7 linked regions of the Rattus norvegicus genome follow. The protein of the gene in region 1 interacts with the protein of each later gene in a pairwise test. Links are inferred from orthologs where the notes say so. Each region holds a gene or a part of one and is shown in the gene's direction. Other genes may lie near its edges.

Evidence for each region.
Region 2: the proteins of Tchp (region 1) and Nab2 interact in binary tests that used the Homo sapiens proteins (3 or more experiments, as listed by UniProt). The two-hybrid records come from large-scale screens. The link is inferred for Rattus norvegicus from reciprocal best matches to the Homo sapiens genes TCHP and NAB2.
Region 3: the proteins of Tchp (region 1) and Cdr2 interact in binary tests that used the Homo sapiens proteins (3 or more experiments, as listed by UniProt). The two-hybrid records come from large-scale screens. The link is inferred for Rattus norvegicus from reciprocal best matches to the Homo sapiens genes TCHP and CDR2.
Region 4: the proteins of Tchp (region 1) and Dydc1 interact in binary tests that used the Homo sapiens proteins (3 or more experiments, as listed by UniProt). The two-hybrid records come from large-scale screens. The link is inferred for Rattus norvegicus from reciprocal best matches to the Homo sapiens genes TCHP and DYDC1.
Region 5: the proteins of Tchp (region 1) and Krt16 interact in binary tests that used the Homo sapiens proteins (3 or more experiments, as listed by UniProt). The link is inferred for Rattus norvegicus from reciprocal best matches to the Homo sapiens genes TCHP and KRT16.
Region 6: the proteins of Tchp (region 1) and Nme7 interact in binary tests that used the Homo sapiens proteins (3 or more experiments, as listed by UniProt). The two-hybrid records come from large-scale screens. The link is inferred for Rattus norvegicus from reciprocal best matches to the Homo sapiens genes TCHP and NME7.
Region 7: the proteins of Tchp (region 1) and Mkrn3 interact in binary tests that used the Homo sapiens proteins (3 or more experiments, as listed by UniProt). The two-hybrid records come from large-scale screens. The link is inferred for Rattus norvegicus from reciprocal best matches to the Homo sapiens genes TCHP and MKRN3.

What each region holds. Positions count from the first base shown.
Region 1 is NC_086030.1:47,542,949-47,546,448, reverse strand, and holds part of Tchp (trichoplein keratin filament-binding protein), read left to right. Parts: exon of another isoform or gene 1-513; coding exon 514-626; exon of another isoform or gene 627-750; coding exon 751-817; exon of another isoform or gene 818-2,479; coding exon 2,480-2,652; exon of another isoform or gene 2,653-3,500. UniProt on the Homo sapiens protein: Tumor suppressor which has the ability to inhibit cell growth and be pro-apoptotic during cell stress. Inhibits cell growth in bladder and prostate cancer cells by a down-regulation of HSPB1 by inhibiting its phosphorylation.
Region 2 is NC_086025.1:65,386,456-65,390,750, reverse strand, and holds the start of Nab2 (NGFI-A-binding protein 2), read left to right. Parts: upstream 1-1,495; 5' UTR 1,496-1,705; coding exon 1,706-1,788; intron 1,789-2,844; coding exon 2,845-3,718; intron 3,719-4,078; coding exon 4,079-4,212; intron 4,213-4,295. UniProt on the Homo sapiens protein: Acts as a transcriptional repressor for zinc finger transcription factors EGR1 and EGR2. Isoform 2 lacks repression ability.
Region 3 is NC_086019.1:184,945,537-184,949,036, reverse strand, and holds part of Cdr2 (cerebellar degeneration-related protein 2), read left to right. Parts: intron 1-3,181; coding exon 3,182-3,294; intron 3,295-3,500.
Region 4 is NC_086034.1:16,981,532-16,985,031, forward strand, and holds part of Dydc1 (DPY30 domain-containing protein 1), read left to right. Parts: intron 1-214; coding exon 215-316; intron 317-3,500. UniProt on the Homo sapiens protein: Functions as part of axonemal radial spoke complexes that play an important part in the motility of sperm and cilia. Plays a crucial role during acrosome biogenesis.
Region 5 is NC_086028.1:85,669,412-85,673,516, reverse strand, and holds the start of Krt16 (keratin, type I cytoskeletal 16), read left to right. Parts: upstream 1-1,305; 5' UTR 1,306-1,377; coding exon 1,378-1,875; intron 1,876-2,306; coding exon 2,307-2,389; intron 2,390-2,616; coding exon 2,617-2,773; intron 2,774-2,857; coding exon 2,858-3,019; intron 3,020-3,098; coding exon 3,099-3,224; intron 3,225-3,495; coding exon 3,496-3,716; intron 3,717-3,812; coding exon 3,813-3,862; intron 3,863-4,002; coding exon 4,003-4,097; 3' UTR 4,098-4,105. UniProt on the Homo sapiens protein: Epidermis-specific type I keratin that plays a key role in skin. Acts as a regulator of innate immunity in response to skin barrier breach: required for some inflammatory checkpoint for the skin barrier maintenance.
Region 6 is NC_086031.1:79,221,462-79,224,961, forward strand, and holds part of Nme7 (nucleoside diphosphate kinase 7), read left to right. Parts: intron 1-654; coding exon 655-765; intron 766-3,131; coding exon 3,132-3,182; intron 3,183-3,500. UniProt on the Homo sapiens protein: Possesses an intrinsic kinase activity. Displays 3'-5' exonuclease activity with a preference for single-stranded DNA. Does not seem to have nucleoside diphosphate kinase activity.
Region 7 is NC_086019.1:125,338,379-125,342,486, reverse strand, and holds Mkrn3 (probable E3 ubiquitin-protein ligase makorin-3), read left to right. Parts: upstream 1-1,308; 5' UTR 1,309-1,420; coding exon 1,421-3,007; 3' UTR 3,008-3,823; downstream 3,824-4,108. UniProt on the Homo sapiens protein: E3 ubiquitin ligase catalyzing the covalent attachment of ubiquitin moieties onto substrate proteins.

The sequences.
Region 1 (3,500 bases):
CAGTGGGACATGCTCTAGCACACAGCGCACAGCATTCTACTAGTAACGAGTTTGGGCTTCGGTGTGTAAGTCATGAGGGATCTTGGTCCAGTGAGCTGCCTTTGAGAACGCTGTGGTTTCCTGAGAGAGCAGAGTCCTCTGTTCAGATGGAGAGAGACCTTCTTTGGTCTCCTGTGTCCCTTTCCCCGCCCCATTGTTTTAATAACTAGGGATGTAGTGCCCACCACTCATTGTGGATGTAGAGATAGTGTCCTTGTCCAAACAAGGACATGTTCATCTCTGGTTTCCCCATGGTGGCTGTGCTGGCCCAAGAGACTGAAGCTAAGTTAGCTAGTGAGGGCCGGCACAGGAAGTCTCTCTGGCTGGGCCAGGCTTGTAGCAAGGCTTAGTTGAGGTGGGACTCATGAGACACATGAGGGGATCATGATCATCTAGGCCAGCCTGTGCTTACGTAGTACCTGCCCGACACGGAGAGGTGCACGAGGACAGTCTGCTTGCCCCGTCTTACCACAGGCCACCAAACTGAAGAAGGAACAGGAGAACCTGCTGAAGCAGCACTGGGAACTGGAAAGGCTGGACGACGAAAGGAAGCAGATGGCCATCGTCCGGCGCAAGACAGAGCTAGGGTGTGTAGGGAAGCCTGGGCTCTTCCAGGGGGGCGGGCCTCTGAGAACCAAAGGGGGTGTGGCCTGCGGTGAGCAGATGTTGATTGGCTCTGCGGGACTGAAGCGGCTTGATTCCCCTCTGCAGGCGCATCTTGCGACATCAGTACAATGCGCAGCTCAACAGGCGCACCCAGCAGATCCAGGAGGAGCTGGTGAGTAAGTGGTGCTGGCAGGCTTTTCTCCATCCTTTGGGAACGGTATCGCCACTGCGCAGGCGGGACCCGAGTGCGAGCGTCCTTGCATAAAGCCCAGGTGGGACCAGAGCAGTGTTGGGCGGTGCAGAGGAGAAGAGAGTGGGTCACACTCGACAACACTACCAGTCTGTGCCTGCCGGGGCTTGGTGCAGCCATGGTGGGCTGCATTTTTTTTAAAGATATATATATATATATATATATATATATATATATATATATATATTTATTTATTTATTTTATATATATACTGTGGCTGTCTGCAGACACACCAGAAGAGAGCATCAGATCTCATTGCAGATGATTGTGAGCCATCGTGTGGTTGCTAGGATTTGAACTCAGGACCTCTGGGAGAGCAGTCAGTGCTCTTAACCGCCGAGCCATCTGTCCAGCTGCATTCGTCTGTTTTTTTGAGACAGGCTCTCACTGTGTACCCTTGGCTGGCTAGGAACATGCTATGTAGACCAGACTGGGCTTAAACTCACAGAAATCCATCTGCCTCTCCCTCCCAAGTGCTGGGTTTAAAGGATGTGCCGCCATACGTGGTGTGTAGGTGTTCATTTAAAATAAGTAAGTAAATGAATGAATGCAGGCTGGGGAGTGGAGGGGCAGCTCAGTGCTTCAGATCACTTGCTGCTCTGGCAGAGGACCTGGGTTTGGTTCCCAGCACCCACATGGTGCTCCAAGGCACCAGGTATACACGAGGTGCACATGTATTCAGTTGAAACACTCAGAACCGGTGAACAGAAACTGAAATGTTACTGCTAGAGTGTGGGAGGCAGGCATGCATGTGGCCCCGTGTGCACTTGGAGGTCAGAGGAGGCTCCTGAGGAGGATGTTCCTCCTTCAGCTCAGGTCAGTATGGCAGGGGCTCTACCTGCTGAGTCTCGCTGGCTCACCCTTAGGTCTTCATGGAAAAACCGTGGAGGCAATGCAGATGTTAGCTGGCTAAACTAGCAGTCATTTCACAGGGGGCACACATCGAGCTTCTCCTTGCCTCCCTTGGTGTCCTTCCTGTCTGCAGCCTGCTTCTGCACAGATCTCCTGGTCTTGCTTACCACACACCCCCTGAGGCAGTTCCTTCTGTTCAGTTGCGTTGCTCACGGCGTTTTTATGGGAAAGACAAACGTACTCGGTAGCTGCGTGGTGTCTCTGTCATGAAGTGTAGGATGCTGGGGGTGAGCTGTCACCATTCTGCTGCACCTCGGATCCCCCTGCTTTTGTTGTCGTGTTGAGCTGTGTAGACACGGCTAATCCAGCACCCCCTGCCTGTGTGCGTTCAGGGATTCTGGGCTCCCACATTTACAGTTGCAGTGAGCAGTTCGTGCATGTGTCTGTTCAAGTTCTGCTGTAATTTCTTAGACAGGTTCCTACCATACAGTGTTCTGAGCTGTGCTGTTGTCATGCATGTCCAGGGGCGTGTGCCTGTGGTGGTACAGGTGGCAGGAGGGGTCAAGTTTCTGACCTGTGCAGTGCCTGAAGCAGATGCTGTGGCCCAACTCCTTCCCTTCGGTCCTGAGAATGTGTCAGGCCCCACATGGCTGGGTAGAAGAGACTATGTGGGAAGGTGGGCGGGCTCACCTTGCTGCACCAGGGCTCTGACCAGCCCACCCCTGCATCCAGGAGGCAGATGGGCGGATCCTGCAGGCACTGCTGGAGAAGGACAATGAGCTGCAGCAAGTCGAACTGGCCAGGCGGGAGCAAGCCATGGCCGATGCGGCCCAGATGAAGCAGGTCATCGAGGAGCAGCTGCAGCTGGAGAAGGCACGGGAGGCAGAGCTGCAGCAGCTGCTGAGGTGAGGGGACAGCCTGGGTTGGAGGCTCTGGGAGGTGCCCTCAAGGGCTGCGGAGGTGAGGGACAGTCTGGGTGGGAGGCTCTGGGAGGTGCTCAGGGCTACAGAGGTGAGGGGACAGTCCTGGCGGGAGGCTCTGGGAGGTGCCCTCAGGTTCTTGGGTGTGCCACTTTTGTTCTGAGACCTCTGTCCTTGTAACTAACTCACCATCCCCAGGGAACATGGTTCAAAGGTTCAAAGTGACAGTAATGACATGTTCATGTCAAGTCTTAAAACAGGGTGAGGAGGTTGCTTCTGAACGGAACTGTTGAATGCTGCTTAGCTCTGTAACAATTGGGTCTGGATCCTGACAAGATCCTGATGATAGTGCCACCATAACGCCTTGGCTGGTCTCTACCTCCTCAGTGATCTCCTTAGTGCCTAGGGGCTGGGACTGCTGGCCTCTGTGCCCGGCTTTAGGGCCTAAAAGCCCAACCCATAAATGGAAATATTTATGTGAGTGCACTGTCCCTGTTCTCAGACACACCAGAAGAGGGCACCTGATCCCATTACAGATGGTTGTGAGCCACCATGTGGGTGCTGGGAATTGAACTCAGGACCTCTGGAAGAGCAGTCAGTGCTCTTAACCGCTGAGCCATCTCTCCAGCCCCGGAAATAGCCAAATAATTAGGCAGTATACCCTGGTGTTCAGACACTGTTATTGGATCCTGACATTCAGCCAAGTGGTGGGCATATGGCTCATGGAGAGCCGAGGAGGTTGCTTGCTGCCTTGAGGTAAGCCGGTAGTCATCCCAAGGGGGTGGTAACTGGGCTCTGGGGCAGGCGGTAGCCTTCTCCTGTCTCTGGCCTGT
Region 2 (4,295 bases), on another chromosome or scaffold:
CTCCAAAATAACCGGACTGGGGAGTGGGGGAGGGGCGTTGCATACATGGAAGGAAAGGCCGTCTAGTCGCGCCCTCCATATAGCAAAGGGGTTCGGGAGAAGGACCCTGCGCCTTCCTACATCCCTAGTATTTTTGGACGGAAGACAAAAACCTGACCTATTGAAATCATTCCTCCTTGATAAAGTACCCATCCCTCTTCGGGAAACCGAGAGATCCCCCATCGTCAGTCTGGAATGAATCTGGAATGTAGAACCCGCCCAGACCCACACTACCCACGCCGTGCTGGGGCAAGCCACTCTCAAGTGCGGAGCAAAGGGGCGGAGCCGAGGTTTCTAACTAGAGGGACGTTTCCTCCCTCTGGCCAGTCCGCCACGCTTTCCACCCCCACCCTCTCTCCCCAAAGGCCTACACAACCCCCACGTGCCCAATACCCCCCCCAACCCTCCTAGCCGTGGGCGTGTAATGGGAACCAGATGGGGCTAGAAGAAACCGAGGGGGTTGGGCTCCTTGAAGGCGGTCCTCCGTGGTGGGCAGTCACGTAGACTACTCTTAGCCTCTTGCCAAGCTTCCACTACACTGTCCAGAGAGATCCAATAATTCATGACCTCAGAGAAGGCAGCCACCTTTTCCTGGCTTTGCCGTCCAATCCAAGCAGTAAGGCCTGACCATCAGAAAATAAAAAAGCATGGTAACCCCATCCCTGTCCTACCTACCAAACCCCGACGTGCCTAACCAACGCTCATGTAAGTAGTAGATTCTAGTATAACTTACGACCAGGGTTTCTGAGAGCCGCCTCTTCATATTACAACCTTTAGGCCAGAGAACGGTGTTGAAACACCGAAGGGATTCCTGCGCAGCCCCGCGCTAACAAGTTTACCCTAAGGGTACATCCTCCGGGAGCGGAGCAGGAGGAACCGAACACCCGGACCCCTCTCCAACTTTTTTCCCATCACTTCTAACATTCAAACTAACGGCATGGCGCGGCCAGAGTGCGGCCAACGGGCGTCCGCGTCGTTGTTTAGACGCGTGTGCACGTACGTGCGCGTGTCTTTGTATACTTGTGCGTGGTTGTGAAACTGCGCTCTCGGCTCACAGGAGTAGGAGTGGTGCAGGGAGTAGGAATGTAGCCGGCGGGGCGCTCACGTGGGTACGTGGGCGCAGAGAGGGCCGGCTGTGCATCCGGCGTGGGCGGCAAGGAGCGACCTGCCCCGCCCGTTGGGTCCCCAAGCTCCCCCCTCCATAGCTCGGCCTCGGTCACCTCAGTCCCCAACTCGGAGCCCGATTCTTGAGTCCCCGCCTCCGCCTCCTGCTCCACACCTTCCCCCCACCTTCCCCCAAGTCTCCTCCTCTCAGTCTCCGCAGCAGCCTCTCGGAGGCTCAGGCCTGGGCTCCCACCCACCGCCTCCGGTCCCAGCCCCCGGTTCTGCCCACGCCCTCCTCCCGCCAGCCCGGCAGCCAGCGCAGCGCGGGGCCTCGCTCCCTGTGCGTCCTGCGGGGGAGGAGGCGCGGAGAGGCGGCAAGCTCAGCCGGGGAGGTGGGGGCAGAGGCACAGACAGAGGCGCGGAGGCTCCGAGAGAGAAGACGTGGAGGGAGGGACGGAGCCAGGACAGCGGTGGACCCGGGCCGCGCGCGCTCCAGGCAAAGAGCAGCGCGCAGCAGGCGCCGGGCACCGAGACGGGAGGCACGGGTGATCTCTGGCCGTCCATGCACAGAGCGCCCTCTCCCACAGCGGAGCAGCCACCTGGCAGAGCGGATAACACCCGCCGGACCCCACAACCCAGAGTCAAGTTAGTGGGCAAAAGGAGGTGGCAGGGAGTGGAGATGGGTGGAGTTGGACTCCCGAATGGGGGTCTAGGGGGTGGGGGTCGAAAAGAGGACGTGGAGAATCGGGAGGTGGGAGGTGGAGACTGATAGAAAAGGGGGGGTGAGTATTCGAATTGGGGGATCCTGGGAGCAAACAAAGACCCAATGAGCCTGGTTACGATAGAGTACTGCCTCATTTTCCATTCCAGGTTTACTCAGTGGGCATAACCTGGTACGTGAGGCCCTACAAAGACTGTCCCCCAGCGCCAGGGAGAGCTCCAGAGCTTGATCTGTCAACAGTGAGGGGTGGGGGAGCTTAGCTGTCTTAGTGTGTCATTAGCCGGCAGCGCACCACCCCTAGGTCTGGGAGAAGGTGGTTCCTTTGAGTTAAGCATCTGTGGGCCTGAAGGGGGTGTGCTTCAGGCCTCCCTTGTCATGAAATGACCATTCACTGAATGAGGAGGGGTAGCCCCCGCATGCAGCCCCTTCCTCAAGAGGCCTTCAGTCTCTCTCGCACTCCCTTTTGAAGATAAGGATGGAAAACAAGGAGAAGAGAGTAGGCGGGAGCCCCCAGGCAGTTTTCGCCTACAGACGCTGCTCCTGTGGGAGTGTGTGGGAAGAACGGCCCCAGAGCAGAACAATCAAGGCTTCCCTCCCCCTTTCCCAGAAGAGAAGGACCAATCAAAGGAGAGGGGGTAACTGGAAGGGTACTGGGCAGCCTAGAAAGTTCGGACAGATTCTAGGAAGAGTGCTTTTAAACCCTGGAACCTAAGGACATGAGCAAGGGTCTACCAGGTTCCCTAAAGGCCAAGGAAGAGGCCACACCCCTCCCTCCCAGCTACCTGGGCAAGGAGTGAAGTGGCCAGCAGTAGCCCCTAGTATTCTAAGTTAACTTTAATATGGGATGTTTGTGCCACTGAGCAATGCTCCATTCTCAACCTTGGGCACTGGGCAGGAAAGAGGACAACTGTTAGTGTGGGTTGGTTGGTACCCAGCAGGACACTTGTACTCACCGCCTGTCTCCTGCCCTTCCTTCTCAGGGCAAGTGCCTCAACCATGGCACTGCCTCGAACACTGGGTGAGCTGCAGCTGTACCGGGTCCTGCAGCGTGCCAACCTTCTTTCTTACTACGAGACCTTCATCCAGCAGGGAGGGGATGATGTACAGCAGCTGTGTGAGGCGGGCGAGGAGGAGTTCCTGGAAATCATGGCACTTGTGGGCATGGCCACCAAACCACTCCATGTCCGACGTCTACAGAAGGCTCTGAGAGAATGGGCCACCAACCCAGGGCTCTTCAGCCAACCAGTGCCTGCTGTGCCTGTCTCCAGCATCCCACTTTTCAAGATCTCTGAGACAGCTGGTACCCGGAAAGGGAGCATGAGCAATGGGCATGGCAGCCCAGGAGAAAAGGCGGGCAGTGCTCGAAGCTTTAGCCCCAAGAGTCCCCTTGAACTTGGAGAGAAGCTATCACCACTTCCTGGAGGACCTGGTGCAGGGGATCCCCGGATCTGGCCAGGCCAGAGCACTCCAGAATCTGATGTTGGAGCAGGAGGAGAAGAGGAGGCCGGGTCTCCCCCTTTCTCCCCCCCTGCAGGGGGAGGAGTCCCTGAGGGGACTGGGGCTGGGGGGGTGGCTGCAGGTGGCACAGGGGGTGGTCCAGACCGCCTGGAACCAGAGATGGTGCGAATGGTGGTAGAGAGTGTGGAGAGGATCTTCCGGAGTTTCCCCAGGGGTGACACTGGAGAGATCACATCCCTGTTGAAGCTGAATAAGAAGCTGGCACGGAGTGTGGGGCACATCTTTGAGATGGATGATAACGACAGCCAGAAAGAAGAGGAGATCCGAAAATATAGCATCATCTATGGCCGCTTGGATTCCAAACGGCGTGAGGGCAAACAGCTTAGCTTGCACGAGGTGAGTACCTGGGTCTTCAGGACTGCCCTTCACTCCTGGGCTCAGTTCACTTGCCTCAGAATCCTCCACCTCTGTATCACTGTCCCCTTGACCACCCCAGTTCCTTCCACACACCCACACATACCCAACCCCAGCTGCTGCCTCACTTCCCTCAACCTAAGGGAAGAATAATGGCAACGAAACCCTGTGCTGCTCACATGCCAGGAACAGGAGGCCTTGGGAGGGACAGTCTCTAAGTTCAGGCAGTTAAGTCCTGGGTATTATTTAAAGCAGGCATTCTTTGGATGGGCCTCCCTTGGTGGTGAAGGGGAAAAGCAGTAGGAGAACCAAGAACTCACACTGATTGTCCTCTTGCCACAGTTGACCATCAATGAGGCTGCTGCCCAGTTCTGCATGAGGGACAACACCCTTTTACTTCGAAGGGTAGAACTTTTCTCACTGTCCCGCCAAGTAGCCCGAGAGAGCACCTATCTTTCTTCCTTGAAGGGATCCAGGTGAGACCCCCTTCCTTCCCCAAGGTTGGAATCCTGCCAAGGACTTGGCTCTCCCAACTTGCAACTCAGGCAGCTCCAGGCCT
Region 3 (3,500 bases), on another chromosome or scaffold:
GACTTTTTACTTGCCTTGCCTCTGCCTGGTATTCTGTTCCCTCAGATGTATACTTCCTCAGTTTCTTCACATCCTTATTATAGCATGACCTGTGGTTTAGCCTCTCTCATCCAAACTCCCCCATACACCTTCCTTGCTTTACATGATCTCAAGTACCTGGTGCTCTCTGTTTTATATGCTATTGTGCGCTTTCTCCCATAGGCTGTAAGCAATAAAACCTGAACTACTTATATTCCCCAATATCGTAATCTGATCTTGCTGAATATATACGTATCCATGTGTGTGTGCGTGTGAATACAGTTGTCAAAGAATTGTCAAAGCACCATTTGGATGGCGATGGTGCTATCACGTTTGAAGACTTAGTGTTTATGTGCTCTGTAGCTTCCCCTAGTAACTTAGGAAAGTCAACAAAGTAGGAGCTTCACCCAGTCTGCTCTTGTAGCCAGAGTTTGTACCAACAAACATCTTTAAACCAATTGCAGCTTAGCTTGGAAAGACTGTTCTGTATTATTACTTTTGATATTTATAATATGATATTAACGGAACAGTTGTTTCTCAAAACAAGACAGTTAAGTTTAGAGACCTTTACAATCGCTGTCTGGGAGCTAGGAAGATGGCTCAGCAGTTAAGAGCATGTACTGTGTCTTAGTCAGGGTTTGTATTTCCACACATACACAAAATCATGACCAAGAAGCAAGTTGGGGAGGAAAGGGTTTATTCAGCTTACACTTCCATGTAGCTGTTCATCACCAAAGGAAGTCAGGACTAGAACACATGCAGGTCAGGAAGCAGGAGCTGATGCAGAGGCCATGGAGGGATGTTACTTACGACTTGCTTCCCCTGGTTTGCTCAGTTTGCTTTCTTATAGAACCCAAGACCACCAGCCCAGGGATGGCACCACCCACAATGGGCTAGGTCCTCCCCCCTTGATCACTAATTGAGAAAATGGCTTATAGCTGGATCTCATGGAGGCATTTATTTCCTCAAGGGAGGCTCCTCCTCTGTGATAACTCCAGCTGTGTCAAAAGCAACCAGTACATACTGTTCTTTCAGAGAGCCAAAGTTCAGTTTCCAGCACCCACATGAGGCAGCCTACAACTACCTGTAATTCAAACTCTGGCTCTGTGGGCCTCTGCACTCATTTATACATACCTACACAGACAGACAAACACACAACTAAAAATAAACATTTAAAATCACTGTTCTAGAAAATGTTAGGTCTGGGTCATGACCTTTCAGCCTAGAGGTCATGACATTTCCCACTATATATCATAGAGCTGACCCATAAAATGCACTACAGAGATAATTGTTTCAATGACCTGTGTCACCATAATTGCTGGGCTTTCCTCCCCCGTAAAGGCATTCCCCCTATACATCCCCCTTATTGCCCCTCCCCCATATTCCCCTGCACTGGGGATCCAACCTTGACAGGACCAAGGACTTCCCCTTCCTCTGGTGCCCCAACAAGGCTATTCTCTGGTACATATAATTGCTGGGATTTTTAAAGTAAAAGCTTTGTGCTCTGGCAACCCCAGAGCTCAGCCACCTATCTTCAATACACCACTAAAGAGACAGATGATAGTGGAAAACAAAAGATTTATTCAACATGGCTATACTGAGAATAGGAACAAATATGAGGGGCCTGATGACTGTACCTCCATGTCCATTTAAGGACTTGCTAACATGAGATGTAGGTGACTAGAGGACAGGAGGTTTATATAACTAAGCAGTGCCGGTCAAGGTGTGGTCCTACCTACGTTGTTTCAGTTCTGGTCTGTCCTGTAGGATGGACTGACAAGTTGTCAGTCAGAACTATGTGGAACACAGTCTTTCCTTTCCCCTGGTAGGGGATTCCGAGGGAGATTTTAATTATTTGGGGGACAGGGCATAGGTGTCTCTTGAGATTATCTATCCTGTCAGGGTTTTTTTTATATATATATATATATTATTACTAAGTTTCTATTCCTCGGATTGTAATATAACAAAACCTGTCTTCTTCACACATATGCCTAAGAAGTCAATTGACAAATAAGCTTTAAAATAGAGAAGCCAAATGTGGTGGCTCATACTTGGAATCCTAGCATGTAGGAAGCTGAGGGAGAATTGCTATGACTTCCCAGGACAGCCAGGGCAGAGGGGAGGGGGTGGAATAAAATAGAATCCTGGCCCCATGTTTAAGGAGGAAGCATGAAGCAAAACTGTATTGCTGCTTTGCTTAAAAGCTGTGATAGGTCTGGGTGGTAGTGGTACATGCCTTTAATCCCAGCATTCAGAGGATAGAGACAGGCAGATCTCTCTTGAGTTCAAGGCCAGCCTGGTCTGCAGAGTAAGTTTCAGGACAGTCAGGACTCACAGAAAACCCCTGTCTTGAAAAAACAAAACAAAAAAGATATGATAGGAATTGAGGTGGGGAGAGACAGACTTGTGAAACAAGTATCTTCACCACTGGTGTACTTCTTCATTTCTTGCATTAATATTTGGTTGCCTTGAGAATCTAGGTATAGGGGGTTAGAGGGAGAGCTCAGTCATTAAGAGTATGTCCTGCTTTTCTGGAGGACCTGGATTAGGTTCTTGGCACCCACATCAGTAGCTCACAGCTACATGTAACTCCAGTTCCATAGGATCCAATGCATGTGTCTGACCTTCAGTACATGTACTCTCATAGACATACACACACACACACACACACACACACACACACACACACACACACACACCTCTTCAAAGAAAAAAAGTGAAGAGAGTCCAGACAACAAACTTTGCTTTGACAGTTGTGTTCACAGTAGCTTGCTAGAAATTTTGGAGTCTGCTCAGAGGCCCGTGTCTTTGGCTCAGAGAATTCCTCTCAAAAGCAGAACGTCAGGATTTGAATAATGGTATTACCAAATGATGATCTTAGAACTGTAAGACTGAATGGTCATTCCTGAAATAATGCCCACATCTCTGTCAAGTAGGCTGCTGTCATTCATGTCTGACAGGGTGCATGAGAGACTACTTCACCTGCTAGGAGGCCCCAGGTCAACTGAATTTTAAGTAAGACTCCGATTTCTTTTAGGGCATTCTGTGTTCTATTGATCTGACTTGCATGTGCTGGGACTTGCTTCATTTATTTTAAGAACTGGGTTATATAAAATGTTGAAGTAAGCGCACTGAATTTGCTGTTTGTTGTTTATTGTGCTAGATCTCCAACTTGCTGCAGAACTCGGAAAGACGCTACTGGATCGGAACACAGAGTTGGAGGATTCTCTTCAGCAGATGTACACAACCAATCAGGAGCAGTTACAGGAAATTGAGGTAATTTACTCATCGAGAGGTACATTCTCTGTGATGTGTTGCTCTCTGCTCTTGTCATGGACTGCTAAATAGCATTGAGAAATAGTATTCAGCTTCCGAGTAGTCTGTTTTGAGAAATTGAACCACCAAAGATACTTTAAAGAAAGTTTTCCTAGTATGTAAGTCTGCTCTGATTAAAAAAATAGTTTTCTCTTCAACCTTGGTAA
Region 4 (3,500 bases), on another chromosome or scaffold:
CTTTTTATTTATATTTATGGTATAATCTTAATTTTGCATTCTTCATTCACCTAAAACCTAAAACTCCCCCAAAATCGTTGCATAGTTTCCAAGTGAATAGACCATCATTTGCTTAACAGACCTTCTAATGCTTGTAATTGAGACGCTTCTGAGGTCGCATTTACACACTTCTGGATCTCTAACTGTGTGCTGTTGCTTTCATACCAATTGCTAGAGACAGAAAGAACTGATTGCGTTGGAGCACGAGAGAGAATTAGCTATGATGGAGCAGGAAATGATGGATCGACTCAAAGCAGAGGAACTCTTGTTTCAGCAGGTGAGACAAGAGGGAGGGCGTGGCTGAAGTGAACATCGCCCTTGGTGAGTGCACCCACATCCTGAGGTACTGACGATCTCCGGCCACTTAGACATGGCTCTCTAGTATTCCGTTTCTCTTTCTGGAAAAGTCTATAGCATGAGATAATAGGACAACCCAGAAAGTGAGTTGGGGTGGAAGCCAAGGCAACAGTGAGGCCAAGGGACAGTAGCCAACAGCCCCACTGCTGAGCTGGTGCTCATTCTAAGGCCAGGCAATCTCTCTAGGAAGAGTGGGCAGGGGGGAGGGCGGTAGGTGAGGAGAGAGATAATGAGTGAGCATAGTCCTTTCATGGAGCTTGTGAGGGGACGAGCAGTGGGCTTTATTTTGGTTTAAGAACACACAGAGTACAATGAGTGACACTAGAAAGTAGAAAAAAATAGTCTAGAGGCTCTGTCCACAGGCATGAGAGAAAATGGGTCTGGTAAACGAGTGGACGAGTGCTTCTTATTGTAGTTCAGGGACAGAGAATGGGTGGCCTCCGTTTTAGGTGGGTGTGTCACCTGGTGACAAGTTAAAAGCAGACTTCATGCTACCGTCTCTATTGTCTGTACAAAGTAAGAACCAACCGTGAACACACATGAAGAATAATGAAATAATATGGTACTAATAATAATTATATTTTATTATCATTAAATAATACGGTAGGGGATGAAAGAGTGGGCTGATCAAGCTTTACATGTTGAACATCTCTAACCTGAAAAAAAAAATCCAAAAACTGTTCCTAAGCACGAAACTTTTTGTGAACTTACACAACGCCAAAAAGTGAGAAATCCCACACTGTTAATCTTTGTTTCACGCAAAAATTATTAAAATATGGCATACAATTATTTTCAGGTAGAAGGCAAAACGTAACTGAATTTCATGTTTAGGCTTGGGTACCATACCTAAGGCATCTTTCTATTTTGATTTACATATTAAAGATATGTAAATATGTCAAAATTAAGAGATCTGGAGCAGATCTAGTCCGAAGCATCTCTGAAACAAAATCCTCAGCCTGCATGACGCCACGTTTCGAGACCGATATTCACAATAGTGCTGGTCCCTTGGCCCATCCTCCCCTGACAGCTTCTCCTGCTGGTCTGTGTCCTACTGAAGAGAAGCAGGGATCTCTGTAGTTTTCCTTCTCTGGGACAGCGAGTTCACGGGAAGATACTCCACTTCCTTTCACTCATCTCTTTTACCCTACTTGAATAAACGTTAGCAACACCAGAAAGTAAGCATTTTCCTAGCCATGCTAGCCGGCAAAGCTGATCTGCTGTGCGTTGAAAGCGAAGCACTTCCTGTGCCAGGTATGCGGAAGGTCCGGTGACATTCTACAAGGAGACTGCGGCTGGTTAAAGGCGTCGGTTTGGTGAGCAGAAACACATGAGAGGAGGAGGGCTGGCCCAGCAGAGAAGGCTTTCTCACCAAAAGTCTAATAATACAAACAAGCTGATTCTGCAGGGGACAAGTCATTTCTTTGAATGTGGAAATCAACATTGTTTAAATTAACTCACACTGGCAAATGTCATTCTCGCTTTGACAACAAGTGAATTACTTAGATACTCAATATTTTTTGCAGGCTTGTTCTATGTTTTATGAAGAACTTTTGCTGTAATAAGAGAATCAATCTTAAAATTTCTTTCTTCTTTTTTTTTTTTTTTTTTTTGAGATAGACGTTTTCTGTGTAGCCCTAGAAGTCCTGGAATTCACTCTGTAAACCAGGGTGGCCTCCAATTCACGGAAATCAATTTGCCTCTAGCTCCCAAGTGCTGGGATTAAAGGCATGTACCACCACACCCTGCAACTTTTCTATTTTTTTTTAACATTTACTTTCTTTTTAAAATTAAAAGAATACTATTATGAGTGTGCGATTTATGCAGGGGTGGGAACAGAATGCATACACACCACGGCCCATGTGCGGAGGTCAGAAGTCTGCATTGTGGAGTTGCTTCTGTTTTTCCCCCCTTCAGACTGGTTATGGGGATTGAATTCAGGTCAGTAGGCTCCCTGATGGTGCTTTTACCCACTAAGCTGTCTGATGACCTTTGACCTTTGCCTTCTCGTAAGTCGAGACTATTGGTGGGTGCCTCGTCCGTGAATGACATTCACCGGGTTCTTTTTTTTTTTTTTTTTTTTAATCTTTATTAACTTGAGTATTTCTTATTTACATTTCGATTGTTATTCCCCTTCCGGGTTTCGGGGCCAACATCCCCCAGCCCCTACCCCTGCCCTTCTCTATGGGTGTTCCCCTCCCCATCCTCCTCCCATTACCGCCCTCCCCCCCAACAATCATGTTCACTGGGGGTTCAGTTTTGGCAGGACCAAGGGCTTCCCCTTCTACTGGTGCTCTTACTAGGATATTCATTGCTATCTATGAGGTCAGAGTCCAGGGTCAGTCCATGTATAGTCTTTAGGTAGTGGCCTAGTCCCTGGAAGCTCTGGTTGGTTGGCATTGTTGTTCATATGGGGTCTCAAGCCCCTTCAAGCTCTTCCAGTCTTTTCTCTGATTCCTTCAACGGGGATCCTATTCTCAGTTCAGTGGTTTGCTGCTGGCATTCAACTATGTATTTGCTGTATTCTGGCTGTGTCTCTCAGGAGAGATCTACATCCGGCTCCTGGTGGCCTGCACTTCTTTGCTTCATCCATCTTATCTAGTTTGGTGGCTGTACATGTATGGGCCACATGTGGGGCAGGCTCTGAATGGGTGTTCCTTCTGCCTCTGTTCTAAACTTTGCCCACTATTCCCTGCTAAGGGTATTCTTGTTCCCCTTTTAAAGAAGGAGTTAAGCATTTGCATTTTGGTCATCCTTCTTGAGTTTCATGTGTTCTGTGCATCTAGGGTAATTCAAACATTTGGGCTAATAGCCACTTATCAATGAGTGCATACCATGTGTGTTTTTCTGTGATTGGTTTACCTCACTCAGGATGATATTTTCCAGTTCCATCCATTTGCCTATGAATTTCATAAAGTCATTGTTTTTGATAGCTGAGTAATATTCCATTGTGTAGATGTACCACATTTTCTGTATCCATTCCTCTGTTGAAGGGCGTCTGGGTTCTTTCCAGTTTCTGGCTATTATAAATAAGGCTGCTATGAACATAGTGGAGCACGTGTCTTTGTTATATGTTGGAGCATCTTTTGGGTATATGCCCAAGAGAG
Region 5 (4,105 bases), on another chromosome or scaffold:
TGTAAACATTTATTATAATTAAATCAGAGTCTTAAATTACCGTAAATTTACTATTTGACCTTAACTTGCAGGACTTAATCATCCTAAAGTCCTGTGCACACTGGATGAACAGAGGCACCAAGCCCAGCTAGGGAAAATCTGGGCAAGATGGTTTCCACATGGGACCTCTAAGGCCCTTGAGGGGTAGAGTGGGGTTAGGGCTGATGGCTCACAAGCAGTATCAGGAGCAGGATGGAATTCCTTCCTATAGAGTCCACTACAGAGCACAGTGGGTTACTCTGTGTAGGTGAGTGCAGGAGGTGGCATGGAGGAACTGCGGGTGGGTGCTCTCTAAGTGTAGGGCTCATATGTTAGGGGTCAGGATATGGAGGTTGGTAAGAAAGGCAGCAAGGCTGCAGAAGAAGGATGAACAGACAGTCCACAGGGGTAGGGTCCTCCAGGCATGCTTCTTGTGACTCTTAGGTGTCCCGCAAGAACTGAGGCCCAGGGGTTGGGGATTTAGCTCAGTGGTAGAGCGCTTGCCTAGGAAGTGCAAGGCCCTGGGTTCGGTCCCCAGCTCCGAAAAAAAAAAAAAAAAAAGAACTGAGACCCATAGGTGTGACAGGATCCTCCTGTATTGTTCACTGGGTGAGGGAAAGTGTAGGCATGTGGCAGCATATGGAGAGAATGCTGTGGTGTACACCACTGTGGACATCCTGGTGTCTCAAAGGCAGCTTCCAAATCCAAATTACATCACATGGGAAATGAAATCTTTGATTTTTTTTTAGAACTAGAAAGGGCTGCAGTTACCCAGCCTGGACTTGTCTCTTTGGAGGGGGAGAGCAGGCACAGAGAAGAGTTATGAAGGGCTTCGGGATCCATGGTGAGGGACCTTTTAAATGGAGAGTATCACAAGGCAGTCTGGGATGGCATTCATGAAACTCCAGCCACCTAAGGTTCTCACTGTGGGGCAGGGACTGGTTGACTCACTGCCTGAAGACACGCCTGCCACAAGGCAGCCTGCACCTAGGCCTCCCTGTTGCTGTCCCCTCAGGCTCAAGGAACAGAAGCCCATTTCTGGCCACACAAGCTGAGTCACTACTGACTCGAATTTGTGTGTTTTTCTATTGGCCCCACACCCCAAAAGGTAGGCAGGAACTCTGAGCCAGCAAATGGAAGAGAGAGTCCACCCTGGGCTGAATAATCCAGAGTGGGTAGTTGGACAGGACTGACTGACAAAATCCACAGTGGAACCTGGAGTCAGCAGAAGGAGGGCCCCACCTTCTCCCGGTGCATATAAAAGAGTCTGGTGTCTGAGGCATTCTCAGCATCTGCACCCTCCACTGAGCAGTTCTCTCTTCTCCCTGCTCACTTACCCACACTCTCACGTTCCTCAGCATGGCCACCTGCAGCCGTCAGTTCACCTCCTCCAGCTCCATGAAGAGCTCCTGTGGCATCGGTGGTGGCTCTAGCCGCATGTCCTCCGTCCTGGCTGGAGGATCCTGCCGGGCTCCCAGCACTTATGGGGGCATGTCGGTCACCTCCTCTCGCTTCTCCTCTGGGGCAGCCTGTGGGATTGGAGGTGGCTATAGTGGGGGCTTCAGCAGCAGCAGTTTTGGTGGTGGATTTGGTGGAGGACTTGGTGGTGGATTTGGTGGAGGACTTGGTGGTGGATTTGGTGGTGGTCTTGGCGATGGGCTCCTGGTTGGCAGTGAGAAAGTGACCATGCAAAACCTCAATGACCGCTTGGCCACCTACCTGGATAAGGTGCGTGCCCTGGAAGAGGCCAACAGTGACCTGGAGGTGAAGATCCGTGACTGGTACCAGAGGCAGCGTCCCACTGAGATCAAAGACTACACCCCCTTCTTCAGGACCATCGAGGACCTGCAGAGCAAGGTGGGTGGCTCTGGTGGATGAGACGACAGCAGAACCATGGGCTTTGGGAAGACACCTGTACAGATACATAAGCAAGTAGACTGAAGACCTTTTCAAGTTAAAGGTCAGTGCTATCCAGAGACATTGCTGAAGGTCCTTTAAGAGCATCCATGCCTCAGCTGGAACTGGGACTCTGACACTTAATCCTTTTGAGGCCACTTTATGCTACATGCTCACCTCCTCAGCTCTGGACCTAGGATAGAGGTGATGATAGATGTCAGTGCACCCCTACATAACCTGAGCTGGGAGTAGAAGTAAGCAATCAGTTGTCAGAAGCTGTAGTAGCTGAACTGTTAGGCGTGGGTTGGCTCCTCTTGCTCCCCTCTTCCTTGGCCCTTGAGTAGCAGGGTTTCTGGGTGATCAGGCCTTGAATCTTTTCATTTTCCCTCTAGATCGTTAGAGCCAAGCAGGAGAATGCGCAGTCCGTTTTGCAGATCGACAATGCCAGGCTGGCAGCTAATGACTTCAGGACCAAGTGAGCAACCAGCATGCTGGGCTGAAGGCAGAGGGCAGAGGGCAGAGGGCAGAGGGCAGAGGGCAGAGGGCAGTAGGCAGAGGGCAGAGGGCAGAGGGCAGAGGGCAGAGGGCAGAGGGCAGTAGGCAGAGGGCAGAGGGCAGAGGGCAGAGGGCAGAGGGCAGAGGGCAGAGGGAAGGACAAAAGAGTAGGGTTGTCCATCTGTCACTGTAACCTTTCTTTCCCAGGTATGATAATGAGACGTCCTTGCGTCAGTTAGTGGAAAGTGACATCAACAACCTTCGCCGTGTGCTGGATGAACTGACTATGTCCAGGGCAGACCTGGAGATGCAGATCGAGAGTCTCAGGGAGGAGCTGGCCTACCTGAAGAAGAATCACGAGGAGGTGGGGCTGCTGCTGGGTTTGGGAGATGCAAGGCAGTGTGGTGAGGTCCCTAGGAGAAGTGACCAACCCTCATGACCTTTGCAGGAGATGCTTGCCTTGAGGGGTCAGACTGGTGGGGACGTCAACGTGGAGATGGACGCAGCTCCTGGTGTGGACCTGAGCCGCATCCTGAACGAGATGAGGGACCAGTATGAGCAGATGGCAGAGAAGAACCGCAGAGATGTGGAGGCCTGGTTCCAGAGCAAGGTGGGGACCCGCTTCCTCTGTGACTTCTGGCCACGGAGGCTGTGCAGAGTCTCACCCCCTTTCCTGTCTTCTGTCTCAGACCGAGGAGCTGAACCAAGAGGTGGCTTCTAACCATGAGCTGATACAGAGCGGCCGCAGCGAGGTGTCTGAGCTCCGCAGGGTGTTCCAGGGCCTGGAGATCGAACTGCAGTCCCAGCTCAGCATGGTATGAAGAATCTGGTCCTAGTGCAGTCCAGTAGTCCCCTTCCCTCAGGGGTCACCAGGGCAGGAGACTGGCGGCACCGTGGTACCCATTATACAGATAGAGAAAATAAAGTCAGAAAGTATGGGAAATATTTTTCCAATAAATCTTTTCTAATTACTGCTCCAGTTGGGGTCAAGATCCACGGACCTATCTAAAATATGTCCCAGGGGCCAGCAGAGACAGAGGACACCATCGCTATTGATCATCACCCCCGTACTTTCTTCACTCACAGAAAGCATCCTTGGAGAACAGCCTAGAAGAGACCAAAGGCAGATACTGCGTGCAGCTGTCCCAGATCCAGGGTTTGATCGGCAGCCTGGAGGAGCAGCTGGCTCAGCTGCGCTGCGAGATGGAGCAGCAGAGCCAGGAGTACAACATCTTGTTGGATGTGAAGACTCGGCTGGAGCAGGAGATCGCCACCTACCGCCGTCTGCTGGATGGCGAGAATGTCCAGTGAGTTGGCCCTTAGTCCCTGCTCACCGTACCTCTTCCTCTGCTGCTTTCTGCACATCTAATGATTGTGTTTCTTCTCACCCACCCCCATCCCAGCAGCTCCTCCTCACAGCACTCCTCTGGGCAGTCCTATTCTTCTGGAGAAGGTAAGGTTCCTGGGACAACAGCTTGACTCTGTAGGGTCGGGGCTGAGGCCCTCCTCCCAGAGTCCTGGCAATCCAGTTCCCTCCTTGGCAGCTTGCTTATGTCCCACAATCCACCTCACACTTTTGTTTCTCTTTTTCAGTCTTCTCCTCATCCTCCCGGCAGCCCCGGTCCATCCTCAAGGAGCAAGGCTCAACCAGCTTCAGCCAGAGCCAAAGTCAGAGTTCCGGGTACTAATCCGGTTT
Region 6 (3,500 bases), on another chromosome or scaffold:
GAAAGCTTAACAGATAAAGGCACCCACCACTGAGACAGAGGACTGAGTTTTATTCCTGACGGCCACATGACAGACGAGAGCTGACTTTGACAGATTGACTTTTGACCTCCATTCACAGGCTTTAGAATGCTCATGCCCCCACACATATATAAACTCACACATGAGAATTAAAGAAATGTAATTTAAAAAGTAAGAATAACAGCTTCAGTGTTCTTTCCTACCCATATTCTCTTTCTCCACCATTTCCTCTTATTTTATTTTACTGTATTTTATTATATTTATTTTAATAGATTGAGTCTTTGGTATATATTCTTGGCTGGTCTGGAACTCTCAATGTAGACCAGGCTGGCCTCAAATACACAAGAGAGAATTACCTCTTCTGTCCGCTGGGTGCTAGAATTAAATAAATGTGTGTGTCACCACACCCAGCCTCTTGCTTTTTTAAAAATAAGGTTTAACTAATTTTTACTTCTTTTGAAAAATAGTGATATTTTATGTAAGTTTTTAAGAGATATCATCTTTAACACACTTTCTCTTTTCTCAATTTGGATGTTAATAGTCTGATATGTCTGTGAAGGAAATGAGTACTGGGAATCATAAACAAAAGCGGTAGGACTGCTTTCGTCTCCTGATCCGTTCTTTATTTCCCCACAGAACTTTAGCCCTCATCAAACCGGATGCAGTATCGAAGGCTGGAGAAATCATTGAGATGATAAACAAAAGTGGGTTCACTATAACCAAACTCCGAATGATGACGCTGTCAAGGTAGTAACGCGTCGCTCGTTTTCAGTTATATAATGTCTTTTATTGTTCCCATCAGTCTTTAAATAAACAAAAGCAAAAACCAAACGAACAAAAAACCCCACAGAACAACAGCAAAAGTCCTTTCACTGAGTGGCATCATGGTGATGAAAGCAAGGCAATAGGCAATCGATCAGCCAAGCCTGAGCTCTCGTCAGATTCCTAGTCCTCATCTAACTGTGGTGACGGCCATATTCCCTTCTGCTTTCGTCACAGGAGTTCCCGATCTCTTCTAGTAAGAGTGTACTGTATGAAAGGAATAGAGTGTGTGACCATCTAGTGATTTCTCTTGGTTCTGGTTGCCAAAAGGGATGACTTTAGAGATGTTTACTCACCTTTTACTCAGCCTACTGTGGTGCCAGCATGCCTGTTTACTTCTCCAGAAGGCAATCCAGCCTAATTAGATATTTCTTAAAGAATTTGATGAAAATAAGACTTACCCCAGTAAGCCTTTTCTATCACAAAATAATTGTGATCCCAGGATAAAGGGCAATGGTAACCGAATAGTCACAATGCCAAGCCAAGAACAGGGAAGTGTGTCTCCCTTCCTTCAGTGCAGGTCTGATTCAGGGAGGATAGAAATGAATGACGTGATGCAGCTCCTGTCAGCATTTGGTCAGTGCTCGGCTGGTATCTGATGGGAGTCTTCAGCATCCCAGAGATGAGGTGCTTTATCACTGCTGACGTCATAGCTGCCATGTCATACAATACGAGCACACTTCCGAGACGATGCGAGGGTAAACAAGGGATGGGGCATCGAGTAGTAGGAAGCAGAGCAGGGTATGCAGAACTTACTAGCAAATCACCTGTGCTACTGTTGACTGCTCTGTACTGCTCAGGTCCAGTGTAGGCAGCCGCAGCAGTGAGGTCATGACTGCAATGGCTGTGTGGAGCCCTGCAGATCATTACATTGTACAGCCTTTCTCCCAGTCGCCCATCTCTTACACTCTTTCGACCCATGCGTCTATGATCGCCCCTGAGCCTTAAGGGGATGGTATAACTGTCTTGGTTAGGGCTCAGCACTGGGCACTAGGGGAGAGCTTTCCTTAGGGCCGAGTGCTTGACTATTCCTTCTCTCAGTGCCTTGAGCCTCCTAGAATCTTCGCGTTCATCCCTGTTCGCTGGAAAGAGGCTTACATGAGTAAGGTTCGTGAGAGCAGCATTTGTCTGTAGGTACAAACAGTTGCATAGAAGACAGTTTGACACCATGTCAAGTTAGCTAACGGACAACAGTAAGTTTCCCACAATGGTCTATGGCCTCCCTAGCCATAGATAAGCTCTTAAAAGCATTGTATACAAAATTAATTCTCAAGTCTAAAAGGTTGTGGGGTTCTTGCTAGTGAACAATTTTAGTTTATTGGCCATTTTAAAAACTAGTTGAGGGGCGGAAGAAATAACTCTGCAGTGAAAAGCACTGGCTGCTCTTCCAGAGGACGCCAGTTCAGTTCCCAGCACCCACATGGTGGTGGACACCATCTGTAACTCTAGGGAATCTGACGCCCTCCTCTGGACCACAGCAGGAACTGCCTGCATGTGCTAAACAGACATGCAGGCTAAATCCTCTACATTTAAAATAAACTAACATTTTAAAAAAATTGTTGTTCATATATAGTTGTTACATAGTATAAAATCTTTTCAGTCCAATGAGAAAGCACCACAGTTAAGATTTTGGTGGGGCAGAAGCTGTTTTTTAGAGCTCTAAGCTTACCAGTTTAGATCATAGTATCTTTTTATTGTCCGCAGAGCTACTTTTAGTGGAAATGTAGATTTTAATATGTATAATTTGCCAAGCAATTAAGGAAATACAAGTATATAGATCTTTTCCTTGAAGATATCTAAGAAGTAAGCAACAACTAGTAAATTAAAACCTGCAGGCATTTGGCATACAGCCCAGCAGCAGAGCTCACAGCTAGCATGAGTCAGGCCCTAGGTTCATCCCCAACAGATGACAAAAAACAAGGTAAGCTGTAGCTGAAATTCTAAAGCCTAAAGTTGATTCTGATTTTTGAATTAGAAGATGTCCGTTTTTTATGTAACTTGTTTAGACTTTAAATAACAAATACTCTTATCGATTTGATATCTAACAATATATTAAGAATAATGAGATACTAGTAAAATGGAAGACAGATGAAGTGTAACATTAATAAAAAAGTAAAATTATCCTCTTACTTTAATTTTTTATCTTATTATACATAGAACCATTACTTGGAATATGCAGTTTGGTAGAAAAAACATTAATTAGTTTGCATACAGATCATGTTTATGTGTTTTAATCTTTATTTTAGTTTATTAACACAAGTTAAACTATTTTCATTTTTATTATCTTATAGGAAAGAAGCAGCAGACTTTCATGTAGACCACCACTCAAGGCCTTTTTATAAGTAGGTACTCAGCTTGTGGACTAAAATTGTTTTCTTTATACTTTTATCAGATAAGCCTTTTTATATCCAGCACTTGACCCTCTAATCAGAAACAAATGAGTGACTTATTTGTTATGAGGAATATCTTTATATCTCAGTGAATTAAAGGAGCGAGTTTGTAATCATAGTTTGTGTTGGCAATGTTGTTGTACCTTAAGGCCTTTACTCTGATATCTTGTATGGACAAGGCAATAGTCACAGAACTAAGTAAGGACATGTAGTTTGTTCCTTTGGAAATGGCTAATCATAGATGTTAGAAGCTAACATCTATTCTAAGTA
Region 7 (4,108 bases), on another chromosome or scaffold:
CTGAGCCTTTTATTATGTTTCTTGATAAGTTATACAAGAAAAATTTCGCTTATTCTATTTCCTTATTTCATATTTACTTTTGCTTCATTTCACCTCTTTTATCTATATTCTTTGATAATGTTCCTCTTAGCTTGTTTTATTGTTGTTGGCTTTATTTAGTGGAGAATAATATTTTAATATTTTGAGTTGGATGATTATATCAAAAGCATTCAGAGTTTTTTTAACCTTAGTTTGTAAGACTGCCTGTAATAAAATTATTTTAGCAAGCATAATTTTAGTTTTGGAAAAAAGTAGTATATTAAATATTATAAGACAACATGGTTATTACTAAAAATAAAAACCCACAAATAACTACACTATAAAATTTAGTATGACACTATAGTAAGTAGATGTAGCATTGTAGAACTATATATGAAATTATTAGTCCAATAGTATATATCTGCAAAACGAAAAAACAAAACAAAACAAAACTGCGGCTCAATGTGGAAATGGAAATGAGACACTTTGGTGCACAAAGAAGAGCTTGTATTATGAAAAGCTCGGGAGAGCAGAATGGGATGAAAAGGAAGGCAGGGAACAAAGGGTCTCCGAATCCAACCAACAGAAAAAAGTTAAAAGCCTGGGTCACTCTCAGACCTTGGCTTATTAAGTCTTCATCAGGGCTAGACAAAGTCTAGGCTTCTACTTTGTTGTGGGGTGGGTGGGGATATATAACAAAGGCAGGAAAGTGAAAGGCTCTGTCTGACTAGCCTCAGGGCAGAGGATTCCCTTCTAATTAAAGTGCACGCAAATTAACCCTTCAAGGAAAAAAGACCCAAAGAAATTGTGTCAGATCTATAAGCGTCAAAGGAGAAATGCTTCGGCGGGGGGGCCCCTTTTCGATTTAAAAAGTAGTCACCTATAAACAAAAGACAGATTGAACCGAAAAATATTTTTTAATGTTTATGAGTGAAATGTTCTATAAATGTCAATAGCAGCCGATGGCAAAGGCAAGGATTGTAGCGTTTTCTTAACTGAAAACGAAAATAAAATGCAATGTATACAACCGAAACCTGGAGAGATTAAAACATCAACCTTCAAGGAAAACAGTGTGGAAACGGGGGTTGGGGAGTTCAGAATCGCTCTAAGAGAGCCGGCAGAAGCCGATTCCAATATCTTAAGCGGTTACCGGTACGGGAAAAACATGGCGGAAGCAACTTCCGGTGAAGCACCGGAAAATGGTGTTACAACCGGAAGTGTCCGGCTGCCTGTAAGCAGGTAGGAACCAAAGTTCTCAGGGAACAGGGAGCAGGTGGGAAGACAAAAATTGATGCACTTCTCTCCGAGAAGAAGCTGATCGGACCATCTTCAGCTCCGCAATTCAAGCACAAAAAAGACATAATATTCGGGTTTTTGGACAGTGTTAGAGGCACGCTGCGTGATGGAAGAGTCTACAGCTCCCATGGAAGCCTACGAGGCCGCCGGCGCCGAGGCAGGTGCTGAGGGGGGGGAGGGTGTGTCTGCCCCCCCCCCTCCTCAGTTTGAGGCTTCTGGAGCTTCTGCGGTAGCCAGCTCAGCCCCTCTGCAAGAGGCATCGGGCCTGGCACCGTTTCTTATGGCTCCAGTCCCTGCGAACCGGCGCGCGGCGAGTTTGAGACCCGCTCCAGCCGAAGGGGGCGGGGCCAGGTCTGGTCCGGAGCGCAACACAGGCAGCTGGACGAAGCAAATCCTCTGCAGGTATTATCTGCATGGGCAGTGCAAGGAGGGCGATAACTGTCGCTACTCTCACGACCTTTCTGGGCGGCGGAAAGCTAGGGGGGGCCAAGATTCTCAGCCTCGGGCCTCTGCAGACAGAGGACCCAAGATGGCCACTCACTGGGAGCCCCCGACTCAGGAAGTGGCGGAAGCCCCCCCTACTGCATCCTCAAGCTCCTTGCCTCTGATTGGCTCGGCTGCTGAAAGGGGCTTCTCGGAAGCTGAGATTGACAATGCAGGCATTGGCTCAGCTGCTGAAAGGGGCTTCCCTGAAGCTGAGATTGACAATGCAGGCCTTGCAGCAGGTGCTGCGGGAGGAGCGGGTGCAGAAGGCTGGGAGGGGGCAATTGAGTTTGTTCCTGGACAGCCGTATCGAGGTCGCATGATCCCCCCGCATGGTCCCGAGGCTCCTCTGCAGAGCCCGGAGATTGAGAGAGAGCATATGGCTATGGGCATGGGAATGCCGCTGCCGCTTTGCCGCTATGCTGCTCGGGGACAATGCCTCCGTGGGGACAGGTGTGCATACCCCCATGGAGAAATATGCGACATGTGCGGGCAACAGGCCCTGCACCCTTGGGATGCAGCTCAGCAGGAAGCTCATAGAAGGGCCTGCGTTGAAGCACACGAGAGAGATATGGAACTCTCTTTTGCTGTGCAGCGCAGCATGGACAAAGTGTGTGGCATCTGCATGGAGGTTGTCTATGAGAAGGCCGACCCCAGCGACCGCCGCTTTGGCATCCTTTTCAGCTGCAACCACACCTACTGTCTTAAGTGTATCCGCAGGTGGAGAAGTGCCACACAGTTTGAGAACAGGATCAGTAAGTCCTGCCCACAGTGCAGGGTCTCCTCTGGCTTTGTCATTCCTAGTGAGTTCTGGGTGGAGGAGGAAGAGGAGAAGGAGAAACTTGTTCAGCAATATAAGGAGGGGATGAGCCAGAAAGCCTGCAGGTATTTTGCTGGAGGCCTAGGTCACTGCCCATTTGGAGAATTCTGTTTTTACAAGCATGAATACCCCGAGGGCTGGAGAGATCAGCCTCCGAGGCCAGATGGTGGTGGATCGTCCAGCGCATACTGGCATCAAGTTTTGGAGCCTGTGCAGTTGCGAGAGGGAAGCGTGCTGTTTAAAAGCCGTAAAAAGGAGCATTCCGTGCTTCGCCTGGCCAATCAGTTGCTTAAGAAGTTGCTTTGCCTGCGAGGCAGTTTTTCCATCTCTGATGACCGGTGGCTCTTGCTTCAGTACCAGCTGGAAGAATATTTCAATTTGAATCTGTAGTATCACGCTGTGGCATGTGGTCTGGTCTGCTAAGGCTCTGTTGTCTGCTGTTGCTTATTCCCCTTTATCGACTGACTCAAAAACCCTATCGCTTTCAAAGGCTGTTGAGGCAATCTTTATGCAGTATTGCTGTTTTCTCCTCTATTTCCCATTTCTTCTCGCTAGGATTGTGATGTTTCTCCGTGTTACAAAATAACAAGAAATCTTATAAGTATTGTTTGGTGGAATTAATATTTCTGTCAGCTGATGACTTGTGATGTCTTTTTCCAACAGGATTCAATCACTTCTAGTCTAGTGTTTACAGTTTCTCATTGTGAAGTCCCTTAAGAGTAAATGTGACAAGGTGACAAAAGTCTTTAACTGAATTATGAGCTTTTTGCTATATAGCCTTAAAAAAAAAATGGACCCTTACAGGACCTTGCAGCTGCTGTCTGTGTTTGTTTACATGTTTGTTTCTTCTCTTTCAAGTGCACTTGTTAACTTGTGGTTATTTTGTGGTTCTGTTTTACTTGACCAAAATGAGGTGCATATGTTTACATGTTTTTATCCTGTTTGGCTTGATGTGAAATTATTTATATTTGGAAATATATATTTAAGAATGATATATATGCGTATATGTATACAAAGATGTATTTGAAAAAACTGGAAACAAATATACATCGTAATATATGTTTGAAGTAATGAAATAAATGTAGAGCTGAAAGCCTAATGTTAAAGTCCAAGTGTATGGGCTGTATGTGAATTGTGTGGATAATTACCTGCCCTTGCACTGATGTCAGTGATTAGCATCTAATAAAAATGACTGCTATGTGTGTATCTGACTCTTTTTAATGGATTTACAAAACATGACTTTGAAAATTTCTATGATAACATTAACAGCTTCTCTATAATGAAACAGTGCCTCACACGAAGTCACCATCTCATTTGTCTTCACAGTGACAATTCCTGAACTCAAACATACATTTCTTTGTTTTTAATATCTTAAATATCTGGTTATTGTATATTTTATAAGCAAAGAACTTTTAAGGAAAGGTTTTCAAAATAAAAGTTATGTGACTATGAAAAAAATAGTAATAAGTATTGACGTCAGACAGGGTATAA